3 linked regions of the Tribolium castaneum genome follow. The protein of the gene in region 2 interacts with the protein of the main gene of each other region in a pairwise test. Links are inferred from orthologs where the notes say so. Each region holds a gene or a part of one and is shown on either strand. Other genes may lie near its edges.

Region 1 (6,103 bases), on a different chromosome or scaffold from region 2:
GTAACCAATCGATAGTTCTTACAGAGCGTTGAACCTTTTTCTGTGATGTAATTATCTTCAAAGGGGAGGGGAAATTATTATTTCAATATTTAATAAGATAATGAGAACGTATTTTTGTCAAGCTTTTTACCTAAAGTGATCGATTAATTGTTTTGCCGTTGCTTTCGATTAACGCTGGATTGATTGCTTCGTTTTCGCGTTGTTTTTTTTTAATTTTTCAGACTTTGTTTACATTCTCTCTTTTGCGGAGTGTTCCGTTTTCTTCACAATCAATAATCAGGCTCTGCCCTTGACCGAGCGTTCGTTCTATTTAGGTCCTCTCTTCTGTTTTGCAACATTGTACACAAATCCAGGACGCGTTTTATGAATTATTTAAAAGAAATCAAATTTCAAGCTCTGATAAAAGCAATTACACCGTTGTTTTATAAATAGATGTACGGAACGATCGTATCAAAAAATCAATGTGTTGTAACTTTAAAAAATTATTTAATCTCGTTTTGCAAAGTCACGATTCTGATATTTAAGTTACAATTGCTACTGTCTGTTTTTAATCTTGCATATCTCGAAGTCTCGCCTGGTTAAGTTAATTATAAATGAGATGAATCAGGAAATAACTGTCGGTTTTATTTGTTTATTTTCGTAGAAAATTGGTCGTGACGCGTTAGAAAGTGATGTCAGGTATTAAAATAGTTTGCGATGATTTTCTGATAATAGTTTTTATGTCAATTGATAAAAACCAAGATATTTTACGATTTTTTTGCAGTTCTGGACAAATTTTGAATTTTTTCGAAAAAAAAATTTAACTTTTTAGTTTATGATCATAAGTAAAACACACTAAATGGAAAGTATAAGGTGAGTCACTGTTTTCTCTTATTAAATTTTCTAGATTTTTAGTACCTGTCACATTTATTTATAATTTAATATTCAATGCTAATAAAAAATATCCCTGTATTAAATTAAATATCGGTCAAAAGAAAAAATGCTGTGTTTTTTATTTTTAATTTTTTTAACTACTATTTAACTGAAATACAACGAAAAAAAACAGTGAAACCCGGTATTAAACCTCAATTTTTTTATAGCGACTTTCAGGAAGTCCATTTTTTACACGTTTTGTTACACTTCTTGTAAAATTATTTGAATTATTGTTGTATTGTATTTGCCTTTAATATGAAACCTAAATAAAAACTTGGTATTTTTATTTAGTTTTATTTAATTTTTAAACATAGGAAAAGGCACAGCTGCAAAAATTTTTTTGGTCGGGTGTCCGGTTTTTTACTTTCTTCATATTCTATGTGAGATAAAGCGCAGAAAACGAATGATAATTCGGTCAAAAACTGTTCCACATTTCGAACGTCGCTCCGCATAATTGGCTATTACGTAAAACCTTAATTATTGATCCGAGTGTTGTAAACAAACCGGGTCAATTTTTTCCCGATTATGACTCACACTTTGAGGAAGTGTTTCATGTAATTGTTCTTTCAGGGTAAAGTCTACTTATTCGACAAGGTATTCAAACCGAATGCAACTCAAGAAAAAGTGTACAATGAGGCGGCCAAGAGCATCGTGTCCGATGTTTTGGCCGGTTATAACGGCACAATCTTCGCCTATGGACAAACCTCGTCGGGTAAAACCCACACGATGGAAGGCGTAATAGGTGATCCACAAAAACAGGGTATAATACCCCGCATAGTCAACGATATCTTCAATCATATTTACGCAATGGAAGAGAATCTTGAGTTTCACATCAAGGTTTCGTATTTTGAAATCTACATGGACAAAATTAGGGATTTATTGGACGTTTCCAAAGTGAATTTATCGGTCCACGAGGACAAAAACCGAGTTCCTTACGTGAAAGGTGCCACCGAACGGTTCGTCTCAAGTCCTGAGGAGGTTTTCGAATCGATTGAAGAAGGCAAATCCAACCGACACATCGCTGTGACAAACATGAACGAGCACTCGTCTCGATCACACTCAGTATTTTTGATAAACGTCAAGCAAGAGAATCTAGAAAATCAGAAAAAACTTTCGGGGAAATTGTATTTGGTCGATTTGGCTGGTTCGGAAAAAGTCTCCAAAACCGGGGCTGAAGGAACAGTGCTAGACGAAGCCAAAAACATTAACAAGTCACTTTCGGCCCTTGGTAACGTGATCAGTGCTTTAGCCGACGGAAACAAAACACACATACCTTACCGTGACTCTAAACTAACAAGAATCCTGCAAGAATCCTTGGGCGGAAACGCCCGAACAACAATTGTGATTTGTTGTTCTCCAGCGAGTTTCAACGAATCCGAGACGAAATCGACGCTCGATTTCGGCAAACGAGCCAAAACTGTTAAAAACGTCGTCTGTGTCAATGAGGAACTCACGGCCGAAGAATGGAAACGTCGCTACGAAAAAGAAAAGGAAAAAGTGGCGCGTCTTAAAGGCAAAGTTGAGAAACTTGAGAGCGAGTTGCAACGTTGGAGGGCTGGAGAAACGGTCAAAGCCGAGGAACAAGTCAACTTGAACGAACTAACCGAAGCTGTGACTCCTGTCTCTGGAATGGAGGAAAGCACAGTGGAGAAACAGGGACCTGTCCCGGCAACCCCAGCCCTCATGATCGGCTCAACCCTCGATGTGGAAGAACGCAGGAAACTGGAGCTGGAACGCGAGCGACTCTACCAACAACTGGACGAAAAAGACGAAGAGATCAACGAGCAAAGCCAATACGTTGAGAAACTCAAGGAGCAGATGTTGGAACAGGACGAGTTGATTGCAAGCACGCGACGCGACTACGAAGCGCTCCAAGCGGAAATGAACCGAATCCAGCAGGAGAATGAGAGTGCCAAGGAGGAGGTCAAGGAAGTCCTGCAAGCGCTTGAAGAACTGGCCGTTAACTACGACCAAAAGTCGCAAGAAGTGGACGCCAAGAACAAGGAGATGGAAACCCTGTCCGAGGAGCTGATGCAGAAGCAAGCCAGCTTGAATACCACGACCACCGAATTGCAGCAATTGCGGGACATGTCGAGTCATCAAAAGAAGCGAATCGCCGAGATGTTGAGCAATTTGCTGAAGGAGTTGGGCGAGATTGGGTCGACTTTGGGGAGTGACGGGTCCGAGATTAAGATCTCCAATGATGCGGCTAAGCTGGAGGAGGAGTTTACGGTTGCACGTTTGTATATTTCGCGGATGAAGAGTGAAGTTACGAATTTGACGCAGCGATTGCACGAAATTGAAAACAAGGAACAGGATAGTAACAAGAAGGTCACGGAGTATGAGAAGGAGTTGGGGGAGTGTAGGTTGTTGATTTCGCAACACGAGGCCAGGATGAAGAGTCTACAAGAGTCGATGCGCGAAGCTGAGAACAAGAAGCGGATGCTGGAGGAGAGTGTTGATGCCTTGAGGGAGGAGTGTGCGAAGTTGAAGGCCGCTGAACAAGTAAGTTTTTTAATTCGAGAGAGAAATACAATTCAAAACATCTCGAAATTAAAAGAAAAAAAGAGTGTTTACAGGTTGCTAGATTAACGTTTTTGCAGGTTTCGAGCGCCAGCGAGAGCGAGAAGAAGGAAGCGAACGAGCTGCGATTGGCTCTCGAGCAGCAAATGGACCAATTACGTGTCGCTCATCAGAAGCAAGTGGCGGCGTTACGCGACGAAATCGCCGAAAAGCAGCAATTGATCAACGATATCAAAGAGTGTGTTACGTCATGTGTTTTTTGTTTTGTTTTGATTTGTTTTTTCACAGTTCGAACCAGAAGTTGTCGCTCGCCCAGCAACAGTTGCAGTCTGAATACGAGAAAGTCAAGTCGGAAGAAGCCGAAAAGTCGCAGAAATTGCAGGAGCTCATGTCAGTAAAGTGTAAACGCTCATTCCCGTGTTCCCCCAAATCCGCCACAAAACTCTTACCTCATCCTTCAAGTCCCGATTGGGAGAAATTTTTGCCTTATGTCGATCCAGTGCCTAAACATGCAAAAGACGCGTTGAATAGTTTCACAAAATTGGCGAAAAATCAATGCTCGATGTCGATTTTTCACATACATACGTTCCATTTGCATTTGTTTATTTCCCTAACTTTGTTATTGGTCACACATAGGTGTCCACAATATCTAGTCGTTGTCTAAATCTAGTCGCGGGCGATTTTATTATATTGTGATAATTTGGTGCATTTCGATTTGAAACTAATCCATTCCTTTGAAAAGTGATTTTTCCTGTGATTTATTTTGAAAAATATTGCGTAGTATTATTTTTTATTTTTTTAAACATTTTTTGGCATAGTCACATCACGCCACTGTTTGGTTTTGAGTTTTATTTTATAGTTGATACACGTGTGACTAACTAGTCAGTGGTTACGAAACAAAACAGCACAGTATTTTGTATTTTTGCTTTGTGATGAGGCCATTTAACTAAAAGGAGCCGCGGAAAGCCCGATTTAATAAAAACAAAAATGCTGATACAGCCAGTGACTACGTATATCTTGCTATTGCCAAGTTATACTGTCGCAAAATGGCAAATTTTTAATTATTACTTATTTTTCTTTTGTTGAATTTATCTAAAGTCTATAGAAGGTGGATCAAGGTGAGTCTGTTCAAAAACAAATAAAAAAAATATATTTCATATCAAAAACTGATTAGTTTTTGAAATATAGCAAACGATGAAGAAATGTTTTAAATTTAAACTTAAACTGAGAAAAACCACAAAAAAATTCTGGAAACTTGATTGAATATAAAAATAAAATCAAAATTTGGAACATTAGATAAAACAAAATCAGGGCATTATTTAGTGCAAGATTTTATTCAAGTTTTTCGAGTTTTGTAACATTTTTTTTATTATTAAATCGCGGCTTGTTACCGGTTTTGCATATCACTGTATAAAAACGAATCAAAAATTAAAAAAAACGACAATAGCGAGCTCAAACTTTGGATCTAAGTGGTCTTGTAGTATTGTTGTATGATAATAATAATGTAAATAAGAGAGTGTTAGCAATAGTGTATAAAAAATCGTTGCATATTTTAAAGGCAATTATTTTTGAATTTCTCGTAGTTGAAATTGTTGACTATTTCTAAACCTAGACGACCTGTCTGTGTTATGTGTTTGTATTGTTTTCGTTTTGGTTTTTGTCGAGTAGTAAGCGTAATATTTTTGGTTGTCGTGTGACGACACAAATAAAACCTGACCAAACAAATCCGTGAGCGTGGTGTGGCTTGAATGCTGAAACGCTGATGGATAATATTCTGCAGTACCACGAACGAACGACGCGAACAAGCACGGAAAGACCTCCGAGGATTGGAAGACACCGTCGCCAAGGAGTTGCAAACCCTTCACAATCTCCGAAAATTATTCGTCCAGGACTTACAGGTGGGTACGAGCGACGTAGCGACGAGTGGTGAAACAATGCTGTTGTAGGCACGGATGAAGAAAAATCTCTCGGCTGAAGATAACGAAGAAGACGGCGGTTCGTTGGCCCAGAAACAGAAAATCTCGTTTTTGGAGAATAATTTGGACCAGTTGACCAAAGTGCATAAGCAACTTGTGAGAGATAATGCCGATTTGAGGTGCGAGTTGCCCAAGCTGGAGAAGAGGCTAAGGGCGACCATGGAGAGGGTGAAGGCGCTGGAGACGGCGCTCAAGGAGGCCAAGGAGGGCGCCATGAGGGATCGCAAAAGGTTGGCGCTCACATTTTTCTCAATTACGGCAAAATCGCCAATAAATGTTTTGTTTTTTTTTTCAGATATCAATACGAGGTGGACCGGATCAAGGAAGCCGTCCGCCAAAAGAACCTCGCTCGTCGCGGCCCTGCTGCAACAATTGCCAAGCCTATCAGGTCTGGCCAACATCATGTTGTTGTTGGTGGCGGCGCTGCGATCCGTACTGGGTCTAACATGGGCCAGAAAAACATGGAAATTGCGCGAAAACGCGAATCACTTATCATAAACGAGAAAGACGCATGTGAGTCTTGATTTAATTTTTTTCTCTAATTTCCTGAATTTTTCCTTCCAGAAACGGTGCTCTGATCACTGGGATACCAAAAATATTGCTGACTACTCGTACTACGTAAGCCGTGGAACAACACACGACTTACATTTTTGTGCTTACTTGCTTAGTTATCCTAGAATTAAGGTGCACTT
Region 2 (6,981 bases):
CTCATGCAACGAGATTCAGAATAAGCAACTTCGTTATCAATCTTGTTTTACGCTTAATGATATAAAATAAACCGAAATTGCTAAATTAATCGGCCATGCCGTGCTGAATTTTAAGCCATAAATTTCAAAGATACATAAAAAATTCCATTAAAAAACGTAAAATCATTGTAAATGGTAAATATTAACAGCGTTATCTTTTTGCTTTTAAAATATTTCTATTTAATTTTAGCTATAAAGTTGTAACTCAGAATAAAATGGCCCTAAAAAAACATTTTTAGATCCGACACCGTTAAAGATAGCGACACGGCCTTAATCCCGTACAACTGTTTCTTTACACTTTTTTATTCTCAGCGTTTTGAAGAATTTTTTCCACCGCACTAAATTTTTTGTCTCGTTTCGCCTTCTAGTTTTAGTTCCCCGTAAGTGCATAAAAGCAAAAAAAACGTACTTAGTAAATCTGCAATATTCTGTTTTCCAACTGCATTAAGGGTAAAATCAGCATACGTACGAGAAATTTGACAATCGGCTTGAATTTTTGTACCTAATTTCGTGCGCAACTTAATCGTTTTATGCAAATGTTGTTATCTAACCGGCGTTAGCGTGCTTTCGAGTGAATAAAACGGCACAAATTGTGTAATAAAACTCACATTATGGGGCAGAGCGGCAGCGAACCCGTCAGCAAATTCATGAATTTTTTTCTAAATGACACTGGGTCACTTTAAAAACAGTTAACAAGGAAATAAATCGAGAGACGTGGTGACGTCACGCGCCGGCGCATCCCTATCCCGGAGCCCCGGCTCCGGAAAGGCCCCCATCTTACCTTTAACGCAAAATTCGCATCGAATCTGCCTGTTTTCCGGTTACCATATGGTCTGTTTGTAATCACAACTTGCGGTAATAAACTGGTTGCGTGACCATTGAAAATGCGACAAAACCGTCCGTTTCGTGATAATTAAGTACCATAATAGGTCGGTGGTACATCGAGACGATGAAAAATTTCGAACGGAACTACATTTGACGAAAATTTTTTGACATGTGCCAGACCATCATTGCCTACTTAACTTACGGGTCTCACCATCGTGGAAAGGCGACAGCATGGGCATGGGGGAGGCCGTTTGCCCCTCGGTCGTGGCTTGGAGAGCAGTTATGTTGAGGTTTTTCAGGGCGCGCACCGAGACTGAGGCCACGTAAGCGTCGCGGCGCGAATCGATGTCGTCGAACCGGCGCAATGCCACGGCCATATCGATCACCACAATGCGACACGATTATTTTTATAGCGCACGCCACTGCTCGCCCGGAAAATTACAAACCCCGCAAACACGCCTCCACTGGTTTATTTGAACAGACCGCGCAGTCACGTGACACCAGCGCTGCCTTCGTACAAAAAAAAATAAAAAGCGTGCTCGATTGTTTATGGAAATTGGATGTTACGTCATGCTTTTACTGCAAAAATCGAACTGATAACGCTATCACCTACCTTTGTGGCTTACTAAAGTCATATAAAATGGTAGCGCCCTTCTGGACGATGACTCCCACAGAAGCAAAAACTAAAGAAAAAGGTCCGTTCAAGGGTCGATCAAGGAAAGTGTCCGGCTGGAGTTTGCTGCAAAAACACCGAGTTTGATTTATTTTTAGGCAGAAAAAATAAGCAAAAAGTATGCATGTAACGTGATCTCACCTTTTATTTGTAGCACCTTCCACGGACCATCTATGACCGAATTAACGCTCAAACAATTAGACGACACGTCAGACAAAGTACTAAACTAATTAAAATGCCAGTTTGAAGGCACAATTGGGGGAAAAACCAACAACACAGCTAAATTGCTGCTACTTTACTGAATCGCCATATGCAGATAGTCGCCTGACTTTTCGACGAACTCACAGGTGCGCACCCGCAACCGGACAAAACTTAAATCCCTAAATTGACACGAAAAAATCGGCTAAAACGGGCTTTGCCCTCTAAATTTGTCCACAGTCGTTTCGGCAAAGTGTTTAATTAATTACTGGGGTGTGTTTTGCAAGCCAGAACCCTGATTTGTGTTACTTTAACCCGGCTTAGTGGCACCCGGTAGGTGGCGCCCCTGATTTGGCAATCATCTGTCACTCTTCTAACACTGAGAGAAAAAGGAATGAGAAGAGAGTTATCAAAAGCGCAGCCATTAATGTCAGAAGAAAGTGATTGCAGTGTCAAAAATAGCCCAATTTGAGTGTTTTAACGCTTGGCTGCCAAATAAAGGTGAGTAAGCGTCCCCCCGATCGTTTGGGGGCACAGTTCAAGTGTCGGTGTCCTTCCTTCCGTTGGTCAATTTTTGTGATTTATTTATGTCGCAGGTTACGCTATGGTCTACTGATTGCCATAGCAGGTGAGCAGTGCATTCCCGTGGCATGGATGATAGCAACACGTAAGTATTTTTCAATCGTCACGCTTGGCAAAGTAACGAGGAAGCGCCCCTGTAAAAATCGGGCGTGAGTCACGGCTCGGAGTGTACGCCCCCGCCGTCACACGTGTATTGGTTTCCGATCGAAAGGGGTGCAAATTTCTGATGGGGTTCGTCGGGCTATGGGGCGCAGGCGCGGCGTCGCGACGCAGTACGTTTGATGCACCGACGTCAGTTTTCGCGTTTTTACCGAAAGTGGCACACCCTTTTTCGAGCTATGGGGTGGAAAGGGAAGGCGGCGTGATGTTCTAGGGGGCCTTATTATTGATTGCGGGGGTGATCGTTGACCAAAAATATATTTTTGCATTGTCTCATATTCCGTCTTGTGATAACGCCTTGCACTTTTACAATAATCAAAAATATAAATAAGGTTTTTGTATAGACGCTCAATTTAAACGATCGTGAGGTGATGAACGAGGTGCTCATTGGAATTAAGAGGACGCATTCGAAAAAACATGTCTAAAACGATCAACGCGTATAGGATGTAAGTTGGTTTTGTTTTCAGTTCAAGCTTTTGTGTTCTTGTGGCGGTCTTGCTTGCCTTTCGTTTGTGCTACTTGAAATCCGGCGTTTTTTCTACAAATTTCTAACCTAATTGTGGCATAATTCCGCCGCCACTTCCTTGAAGTTGTCGTTTATTTCCAGTAAGAAAATTGAAAGTTTGGGAAAAATGACGGCGATGTCGCAGGAAGAGATCGTCTCAGCTGTGCGAACGGTGGCTCAGGGGTTGGAGGCGCTCCGCTCAGAGCACGCCGGCATCCTCCATGGCCTCCACGAAGCCCCCGATCCGGTGGCCAATGAACGCGCCGGTCTGGTGCAACAAAGTGCAGAAATGATCGAATTGGGACTGGGAGAAGCGCAAGTATGTTCTATTTTTCTTTCTAATCAGATAAAATCGTCGGTGTGTGAGAGACGAAAGGGGCACCCGATTGCATCGATCGGGGAGCACCGATGACTCATACTAAGGCGAGTGGGGAGGGAAGGAAAAGGAAGGAGAGTGTCGAAGCCAATTGATGACTTTCTAAAATTGGATTTAATTTATTTTGTCGCGGTTCTATTATTTTCGACGGGATTTCAGATGCCAATCGATTATAATTGGAGGATTAAGATAAGAGATTGGGTTGTAATAAACCATGAAATGATTGTTTGTTTGTTTTGAATGAGAGATAAAAAAGAAATGGCGGCCTAATTCCGGGTTTAATTTGTTTTATTTGAAAAAAAAAATAAATAAATAATTAAAAATTGTGAAAGTCGTACTTGGATTACGAGTTGTAGAAACTAACAATTATTTAACTGTAACAAACCATGCAATTTAAAAGTTAAATGGTAAATTTGACCTAGAACTTGAAGTTTTCTTCTATAATTACAGATAAAAATACCTGATTAAAACTGAAAAAAATCTTCTTATAAGTCAGTTTATACCGGTCTTGAGTAAATTACATATGATATTATTTCACAACCTACCCAAAAATTATATTGTCATTAGATTGTGTACCCACGATTTTAATTAAAAAATTTAAAAAATAATTATTGAGACCAAAGTACAATATTCAGTTTTATTGTTGATTGTTCATAAAAATCTCATTTGCTTGTAATAACGTCATCACTGTCATTACATGCATAAGAATAATAAGTTTGGTGATGAGTTTATTCATGAATTTGCTTCAATAATATTCACAATACTTCCAAGTGTCTTAAATATCTTTTGAATGATACTTTTGAAGGTGACGAAACAACAATTATTATTGTTAAATCATTATACTTTTACCATATTTCTTAACAAAAATTGGGTGTTTACAAATTAAAATCTGTATCAATTAGACTTTCTTTCTGCTCATCGAGCTTTAAATCTCGTGGGATGATTATTGATGATGTTTATTGCGGTTTTTATGTCCTCACCCTATCCTTTTGTTTTTCTATTTCCACGTTTTTTATTCAAACGTTGTTTTTCGTTCTTGGTTTCCAGGAAAAACAAGTTTTTATGGCTTTGGTTATAGGGCTGTAAAAAACTTGGTGCCTCAAGTATGTTCGATATTTTTTGTATAACATGATGGCCTGTTTCGGTAAATAATTGTTAAATTAACACTAAAAAGTTCTTCGTTTGGCAGCCTGTAATCAAATTAATTTAAGCCGATCGTAAAATTGAGATAATTTCATCGTCTTATTGTAGCAAGTGTCATAAAAATAATTCGCTTTTGTTTGTTAATTTACTTATTAAACTGAATTTTTTCTTTCTGACATAATTAACTCCTGCTGATGCCTGATTTTAAAAATGAAACCACTGACCACAAAAATACAATAATTATAGTCTCTTGTAACGAAAAAAAGTCGCGTGTTCGAACTGTCCTTGGACAAGTCTCCTCACTGATTTTTTAAATTGTTACTCAAAATCAATGAAAGTAATTAAATTTGTGAATTTAAACACCGTGAAAGGGATTTTGCTTCCAGGGAAACGCATTAATTGGTAGAAATGTCGCATTTTAAGGCAAGTAAATTTCTCCTTCAGGTGATAATGGCCTTGGCCAACCACCTCCAATTAATCGAGGCCGAAAAACAAAAACTGCGAACTCAAGTGCGTCGCTTATGCCAAGAAAACGCATGGTTAAGAGACGAATTGGCCTCCACCCAACAAAGACTCCAAGCAAGCGAACAGACCGTGGCCCAATTAGAAGAAGAAAAACGTCATTTGGAATTTATGAGCTCCGTTAGTAAATACGATCAGGACGTCAACGACGACAACACTAGCGAGCACTCACGAAGCGAAAAACCAGATCCGGTCGTCGATCTTTTCCCAGACGATGATAACGAGGATCGAAATAGTAGGTTTACGAAATTGTAAAGGGTGGAAAAAAATGACAATCTTTTGTGTTCTTTTAAAGATATGTCACCAACGCCACCCAATCAATTGCAACTTTCACAACAAGTGAATGCCGGATATGAAATTCCGGCACGACTTCGCACGCTGCATAACTTGGTGATTCAATACGCCTCTCAAGGACGGTACGAAGTGGCTGTGCCGTTATGCAAGCAGGCACTGGAGGATTTGGAAAAAACAAGCGGACATGACCATCCAGACGTCGCCACGATGCTGAATATCCTAGCTTTGGTCTATCGGGATCAAAATAAGTACAAAGAGGCGGCGAATTTGTTAAACGATGCTTTGGCAATTCGCGAGAAAACTTTGGGGGAGAACCATCCGGCCGTCGCTGCCACTCTTAACAATTTGGCTGTTTTGTACGGGAAAAGGGGCAAGTACAAGGAGGCCGAGCCTCTGTGCAAACGCGCCTTAGACATACGAGAGAAAGTGCTAGGGCGCGACCATCCCGACGTCGCCAAACAGCTGAACAACCTCGCTTTGCTCTGCCAGAATCAGGTAAAGGAAACTTTGCATAACGCACGATAAATCATGTTTGAACGACTTGTCCAAAAAAAAAAGCTTTGATCAATTTATTTTATGTTGGTCATAGGGCAAATACGAGGAGGTGGAGAAGTATTACCAGCGCGCGCTGGAGATTTACGAGAAGCGGCTGGGCCCCGACGACCCCAACGTCAGCAAAACAATGAACAATCTGGCTTCTTGCTATTTGAAGCAGGGCAAGTACAAAGAAGCCGAAGTCCTATACAAGCAAATCCTGAACCGGGCACACGAGCGCGAGTTCGGAACAATCGATGGTGAGCGCAAATCTTAATTCTAGCGGGCATTCCTCCAGTATTTGTACAGTTATCTGAATATAATAATCTTGCATGAATAGTCGTTTTATTGCGTTTTCCTGAATCCTTTGTTTGTTGTCAGGTGATAACAAACCGATTTGGCAAGTGGCGGAGGAACGCGAAGAGAATAAAGCCAAGAACAGGGAGAACGCTCCATATGGGGAGTATGGTGGGTGGCATAAGGCGGCCAAAGTTGATTCGCCAACGGTGACGACCACTTTGAAAAATCTAGGGGCGCTGTACCGCAGACAGGGGAAGTACGAAGCTGCGGAAACTTTGGAGGATTGTGCGTTGCGAAGCAGGAAAGAGGTGCGTATATTCGGGGGTTGAGTCATGAGGGGATTTACCGGTTTTTCTTTGTTTATGCTGCAGCATGTGCAACAAGTAAGTGCTTAGATTTTGCCACTGCTTGCTTTTCGTTTTCAAAAAATTCCAAGGCAAGTGCAGAAATTACCAACAAATTAAAATGCATTAAACATTTATTATGTTCAACGGAATTTTGTACACATCGCTTGTCCGTAATCTAAAAATAAATACGACACGGGAAATTGTTATTATATCAAATGTTTTCGTTGTGATTATTCCATATTTTTAGATACCTTTGACAATTTTGCCTAAATAAAATTACATCATTTTGTTTTTTTTTTATTATTAATTATCATTACGTTAGACAAATCGTCAAATTGCGGTGTTGTTACGTAAATTATTGTAATTAATTAATAATTACACGCTCTTGTAGTTTAATGGCTTTTCTATGTTATTAAAAATGTATTTTTTTAACAACTGGATGCAAGAAATGTCGAAAAATTGTTTCAATATCTTGGCAAGGAAA
Region 3 (5,644 bases), on a different chromosome or scaffold from region 2:
AAACTGACTAAAAAATACCATTTCCCTCCAATTTGGTGCTTTTTTGCATCCTAGTAACAAATAGTAAATTTTCGGGTTACTTTTAACGAAAATTTTGAAAATAATTGCGGTTTTAGCTAACCAATGTTAGCTATGTCATATTTAGCCCAAAGTAATGCTTTTTTGGGACGCTTGAAACTTAAAAATATAAACATTACATTTTCTACTTATTTATTAAAGAAGTTAAAGACTTTCCACTCGGATTAGTAAAGTCTCGAGAGGAAATGCTCAAAAAAACACCCTCTTATCTTATCGGTTCCGCAATACTTCTGAACGTCCCATGCTAAAAGGTAATCCAGAATAAATTAATAGATTAAAATTTTCCGTTGCCAAAAATCACAGAATTTCACAAGATTGGCATCAAAGTCACCAAATCTGGTGAAAGATCACCAGACCTGGCAACATTGGGGACTTGGTTCCTGGTTCCGCCGCCAGGAACAATGGGAACGCATGCGCAACCACAACTCCGGATCAACCATCAACCATCGCATTCAACTGGTCATTTTTAAAAAAATTCGGGGAAAACCCAGCAAAAAAACATTTGGTAAAAAGGCACTCGAAACCGAACCAGGAGGTGTCGGTAATGAACTAGGGCGAAGTCACACCTGACCTTACCTGCGTTTATCGTGCGTGGCAATATGACACACAATTATGTAATTAAATCAGGGAAAGAGCAGCGAATTCGCTTGACATCCAATGCCACCACTTCACTTTTCACATAGTGATGCAACAAGCTGGAGCCCCGTCACGCGAGTTCGAAATTGAAACAAATCGCGAATTGTAATTATTGGGCGTGATTTGTGTGGAACACCATATGGATTGGTAATGACTGCGGTTGGTGGCCTGCATAGACAGGTGAATGTGAACTAATGAAAGTTTACCAGCCTGGCGTTCACATTCTACTCAAAACAATGCAGCGCCAGCAACAATTAAGACAGGGGGGATGACAGTCGGGTGACAGATGGGCGTAACTCAAAGGATACAGTGTGGTGGAGTAGGCCTGGTTTTGGGGCCCCCTCCCGGCTGTCTGCTTCTGGTTGCCGCTCATGTCAGCCCTGGGGCGCCGCGTCCCTCACAGAGGCCGCCGCGTATCCGTTCTCAGCGACTGCATATGTTCAGAACTGACAGCACAACACACATTTCCGGCCAGTTCACAAGCTTCGCAACATCGTCGCACCCAAAGACCGAAATTCGATGTTGATGATGCTGGATTTTTCGAAATCGTCACTTAGATAACACTACCACTATTACTAATCAAAGGTTAAGATATGTTTCAAGATGGCGGACTTTTAACCCAAAAACATGATTGTTTTCTTTAGTTTCGTGACGCACTCCGGGCCGTGCTTGCACTATTCGGACAACAGCCTCCACACTCCCGAACTTAATGCGAACTCGAATTTAACCAATGTCACTTCTTCAAATTTAAATTAAACTTACAACTTTATTAAAACTGACACGCGGCTTTCACGTTGCTAGAAAAGCACACCTAGCGCACCCAACGGAAAATTACACAACTAAAACAATTTTTCCTTAGCAAAGACGCACGCCCGGCGTCCCTCTCTCACTTAACCCCCACCAACAACAAAAACACCAAACACGCCGTACGTCGAAAGTTAACCCAACCGCTCACTTGAAAAAATAACGGGCATTGTCCAGAAATTGATCTAACCTACAAAAAAATGCAAATTTCCAGTAATTGAGTTGCAAATCAACCAAAATGACCTCCTATGGAAAAGTCGAAACCGCGAAACTGAAACAAAATTTGGAAAATCAACTGGACAGACTAGTCGAACAACTGGGAGATTTAGAAAATTGCAAGTTAGTCGTCACCGCGTTTCAATGCTCCCGAATGATGAAACTGCATTTTTAGAGCGGATTTAGACCCGGAGGAATATGAGGAGACTAAACAGGACACGATGGATCAGTTAAAGGAATTAAACGATAGCTTATCGAAACTAGTCAAAGGCGATATCTCACTTGTTAGTGCCCTCGGAGCCGTACAACTTGTAAAAACAGTTCTTTATTTTTTCAAAAAATCAAATACGATTTTTCAAGGCCACACAAGCTGCCATATCAGAAGCGTTTAAAACGCCAGAGGTTATCAGACTTTTTGGCAAAAGAGAACCAAAGCAGTTGAGAGAACGATTATCCAGTATTGAGCAAGAGTGTAAACTTAATAAATTGAGTGATGAAGCTACTAACAGACAAAAGGTCATTTACCTAGCAATTTCAGACGTGATTACTTATTCATTTTTCTAGGCTGAAATATTAACTGCATTGAGACAACTGGGGGAACAGTTATCAATGGAAGAGCTGCAGTTTTTGGAGAAACACAATAATATTGCCAATGCTTTCCAAAACGTTGAGTTTGTGGAAGTGACTGATGAATGAAAAACGCACCAAGAAATAAGGGCTTTATTTGTACATGCATATAATTTAACAAAGCTGCAGATAAAAGAACAGGTCGTTTGCCATTTATTGTATCTTCCGTTGCAAATACATAAAATTTATAAGCAATACTATTTTAAACCATAAAATAAGAACAAACAATGAAGTAGTGGCATAACTTTCAATTGTGATACAACGTTTAAAAATGATTTGGAAGTTTCAACAACACTATGTGATAAACTCTTACAACTCAAGTTATTGCCTACAATTAAAAAGTTAACTAGAATTGTACTTTCGTAACTTGGTCCTAAAAAGTACCAAAACAATGAAAATTACGCCAATGTTCCCATTACTCTACATAATGATATTAGAGGATAAACAAACTATAAAAATAGATAATACACAAAATAACATTTTTTAATTTTTGTATGAAACTAGCGCTTACGCCTGCAAACTTTTTTATGTTCTGCTTGCCAGTGCTGTTGTTGACAACTTTGGGAACAATACGCCGTGTTCCAGCAACAATGATAAATGGCTTCCTGTTCGCAATTATAGCACTGGAAATGAATGAATTACAACCGCTCATTTTGGCCAATCTTTCTTACCCATTGCTTTTTCTTAATCTCCGATATCTGCGCATTGTGGGACTCAAACAACCTTTTCAAATGATCATTGTGATTATTTGTAATTTGATCAATCTCACTTTGCATACAGTCCATTGCACACTTTATAAGCTCTTTTTTATCACTCACACATTCAAGTCTTCTTCTCATCTACAAACCAACCGTGAGCAAGTTACTGTAACGTCGCTTATTAGCAAACCTTTTCAACTGAATCACTATAAGGGTGATCAAGTTGCTGCATCCCATTTTCCTGGCTTCTGTCCTGGAATCTGTAATTTTCAGTGGAACTTGAAACTTGCTCATATGAACCATTATAGCTAACAATAAAAAAATTAAACTCGGAAACACCTGACACACATATTTACTTTGTATTAGAAACCGATGAATAATCGTAATAGGGATACTCATCGTCTTCGCCGTCTGATATGTGTATAACGCTATCGGAAGTATTGTGAACTTCCTCGTTTTTCTCCACGGAACTAGTTGAATTTTTTTTCGACACGGGACTTCCTAATTAATCAAATAAGACGCAAGTAACACAAGACAACGAAATTACCTTCACAAAAACTGCTTTTACGTTTATGCGTTAGGCTTAAATTTTGCTGACCGAATGGATTATCCTCAAACTTGTAAACATCATTCATTTCAAATGAATTTCTCTTTTTCACTTCCAGTGAACTATTAAGCGACTTCTTCAACGTCGAAATTCGCTGCTTATTTAAACTCCTGACCCTGTTTTTCGACGAACTGATCAACTTCTGGAGCTCGTCAGGGTTCTGCATCAAGCGCTGATGGAACCTTAACTCCTCCACCGCCTTGTTAAACGCCGAAGACGTCTTTATTTGCAACTTCGATTGCGGCGTTTCAATCGGTTTAATTAACGATTTGATCAGAAGCGACCTTTCGTATTTACCCCCAAAAAACCTAACATCAAAATGCGTGCTCGTCTCTTGAATCACCTAAAACGCGGAATTACTAAACACATATAAGCGACCATCTACCCACTTTAGCAGGCCAATAGGGGTAGCCCTTTTGTTTGGCCCAAACTAACTTATGAGGCACTCTGCACGGCAAACAGAACCACTTAGCGTTAATTTTCTCATTACTATGGCGGTAACAATCAACGCAAAGTTTCAACTCGGTCAGGTCGTGCATGCAGTCTCTAATCATAAGTTCCGCAGCCCCGTATTCCTGCGACTCAACTGCGAACAAATGGTAAAGAAACAACAATTATTTGGACATACTTCCGTGAAAAATCGCAACGTTGTGTTGGATTGTTAAAACATCGGCGAGAAATTGGTACAGTTTCGTGTACGACTCGTTATTTAGGTTCACCTCAATGACGGACATGTCTCTGTGTTCGAAAAATAGCTGGTTTGCCCGCCAACTCAGCTCCTTGTCTGTTAGCCACTCGGGCCGCTCTTGCTGGGCCATGGTGTGTGTTAAAGTGTGCGGCAACTGCAATCACTCCCTAATTAAATTTTCTATCGAGTTGGAATGTTTACCCAAGACTGAATCCTGTGTATTACAAATTTAAGGAGATAATTCAGTTCAGACTTTTCTAAATTACAGCCATCGTCCAGCTTGGAAACGTTGCACATGCTGCACAACGTTTCGTCATACTCAAGCGCATCACTTTTCATTTGTCCGTTGTTATTAAATTTGTAAGTACTCAACTCACTCGCATTCAAGTCGTCGGAATCCGACGAAATATTAATCGAATTCACTGAATTACTCGTCGACTCATCCTTCACCCCTGATTTACTCAACTGGTCATAAAGAATATTAGTTTTCTTATATTCCTGGAACTTGAGACGGCCGTTTGGGACACAGTCCGCATGGAAAACGCGGAAACACTGTTGGCAGGCGGTCACATCACCGGCGAGGTGGCATTCGAAGCAATACCAGTCTTTCCCGTCCAAGGGCGGCTAATAATTTTAATCAAACAACAATATTAAAAAAAAATCACGTACCACTTCGTGTGTAGGTATCCGAAAGCTGTCCACCAAGTCCCCTTTTGACGTTTTGGTTACTTTCTGTAAGGCCCTGTCGGAGCTAAAATTAGGGTGTGTATTTATTTAATTTGTTTCGCTACTAACACAATCAGTCCGTCTTGATGCGTCTGTTGCACGTATAATTCGGCTTGGGCGTAGGTACAGTTGTCCACGCGTTGCAAATATTTTATTATTCGTTTCGAATCGGCCATTTGGCGCTGCAGAACCGCCGATCGAATTGCATCCCACACATGTTGGACGGTGATCGGATCGGCTGCTCTTCTGATAGGCATACCTGCAATTTACAAACAAAAACGGCGGCCTCAAAATCCATTTTGATAATTTTCGAAATTTGGAAAGTATTTTGATAAGTTCACTTTCCCGACACACTTATTGCTAGCCAGTTTCTCTAGAGTGCGGGCCAAAATGTTAAATTTTTGGCGAAATTTTTCAAAAAATACATAATTAATTGAGCGAGTAATTAAAACGTATTTGCTTCGCTCGCTGACTAATTACTAATTAGATAACAAATTACAAATATTCACGATTCAATCCTGGAATAACTCAGATAGCACAGTTGATATCTATTACAAATTAAAA

The links. The genes of interacting proteins can lie anywhere in the genome.
Region 1: the proteins of Klc (region 2) and Khc interact in binary tests that used the Drosophila melanogaster proteins (3 or more experiments, as listed by UniProt). The link is inferred for Tribolium castaneum from reciprocal best matches to the Drosophila melanogaster genes Klc and Khc.
Region 3: the proteins of Klc (region 2) and zinc finger MYND domain-containing protein 11 interact in a two-hybrid assay, tested with the Drosophila melanogaster proteins (2 studies listed by BioGRID). The link is inferred for Tribolium castaneum from reciprocal best matches to the Drosophila melanogaster genes Klc and CG8569.

Annotation. Positions count from the first base shown.
Region 1 is NC_087395.1:25,845,660-25,851,762, forward strand, and holds part of Khc (kinesin heavy chain), read left to right. Parts: intron 1-1,482; coding exon 1,483-3,417; intron 3,418-3,515; coding exon 3,516-3,673; intron 3,674-3,723; coding exon 3,724-3,825; intron 3,826-5,215; coding exon 5,216-5,333; intron 5,334-5,381; coding exon 5,382-5,641; intron 5,642-5,706; coding exon 5,707-5,924; intron 5,925-5,975; coding exon 5,976-5,977; 3' UTR 5,978-6,103. UniProt on the Drosophila melanogaster protein: Kinesin is a microtubule-associated force-producing protein that may play a role in organelle transport. Milt and Miro form an essential protein complex that links Khc to mitochondria for light chain-independent, anterograde transport of mitochondria.
Region 2 is NC_087402.1:3,659,305-3,666,285, forward strand, and holds the start of Klc (kinesin light chain), read left to right. Parts: upstream 1-2,359; 5' UTR 2,360-2,385; coding exon of another isoform or gene 2,386-2,402; intron 2,403-2,820; 5' UTR 2,821-2,893; coding exon 2,894-2,922; intron 2,923-3,083; coding exon 3,084-3,300; intron 3,301-4,944; coding exon 4,945-5,257; intron 5,258-5,317; coding exon 5,318-5,811; intron 5,812-5,905; coding exon 5,906-6,110; intron 6,111-6,231; coding exon 6,232-6,458; intron 6,459-6,521; coding exon 6,522-6,533; intron 6,534-6,981. UniProt on the Drosophila melanogaster protein: Kinesin is a microtubule-associated force-producing protein that may play a role in organelle transport. The light chain may function in coupling of cargo to the heavy chain or in the modulation of its ATPase activity.
Region 3 is NC_087398.1:12,804,872-12,810,515, reverse strand, and holds the end of zinc finger MYND domain-containing protein 11, read right to left. Parts: intron 5,340-5,644; 5' UTR 5,338-5,339; coding exon 5,150-5,337; intron 5,106-5,149; coding exon 5,024-5,105; intron 4,979-5,023; coding exon 4,556-4,978; intron 4,509-4,555; coding exon 4,295-4,508; intron 4,253-4,294; coding exon 4,056-4,252; intron 4,010-4,055; coding exon 3,607-4,009; intron 3,561-3,606; coding exon 3,416-3,560; intron 3,368-3,415; coding exon 3,250-3,367; intron 3,201-3,249; coding exon 3,033-3,200; intron 2,985-3,032; coding exon 2,862-2,984; 3' UTR 2,441-2,861; downstream 1-2,440. Other genes in the region: eukaryotic translation initiation factor 4 gamma 3, read right to left, coding at 1,023-1,087; protein LZIC, read left to right, coding at 1,757-1,857, 1,910-2,045, 2,095-2,250, 2,299-2,430.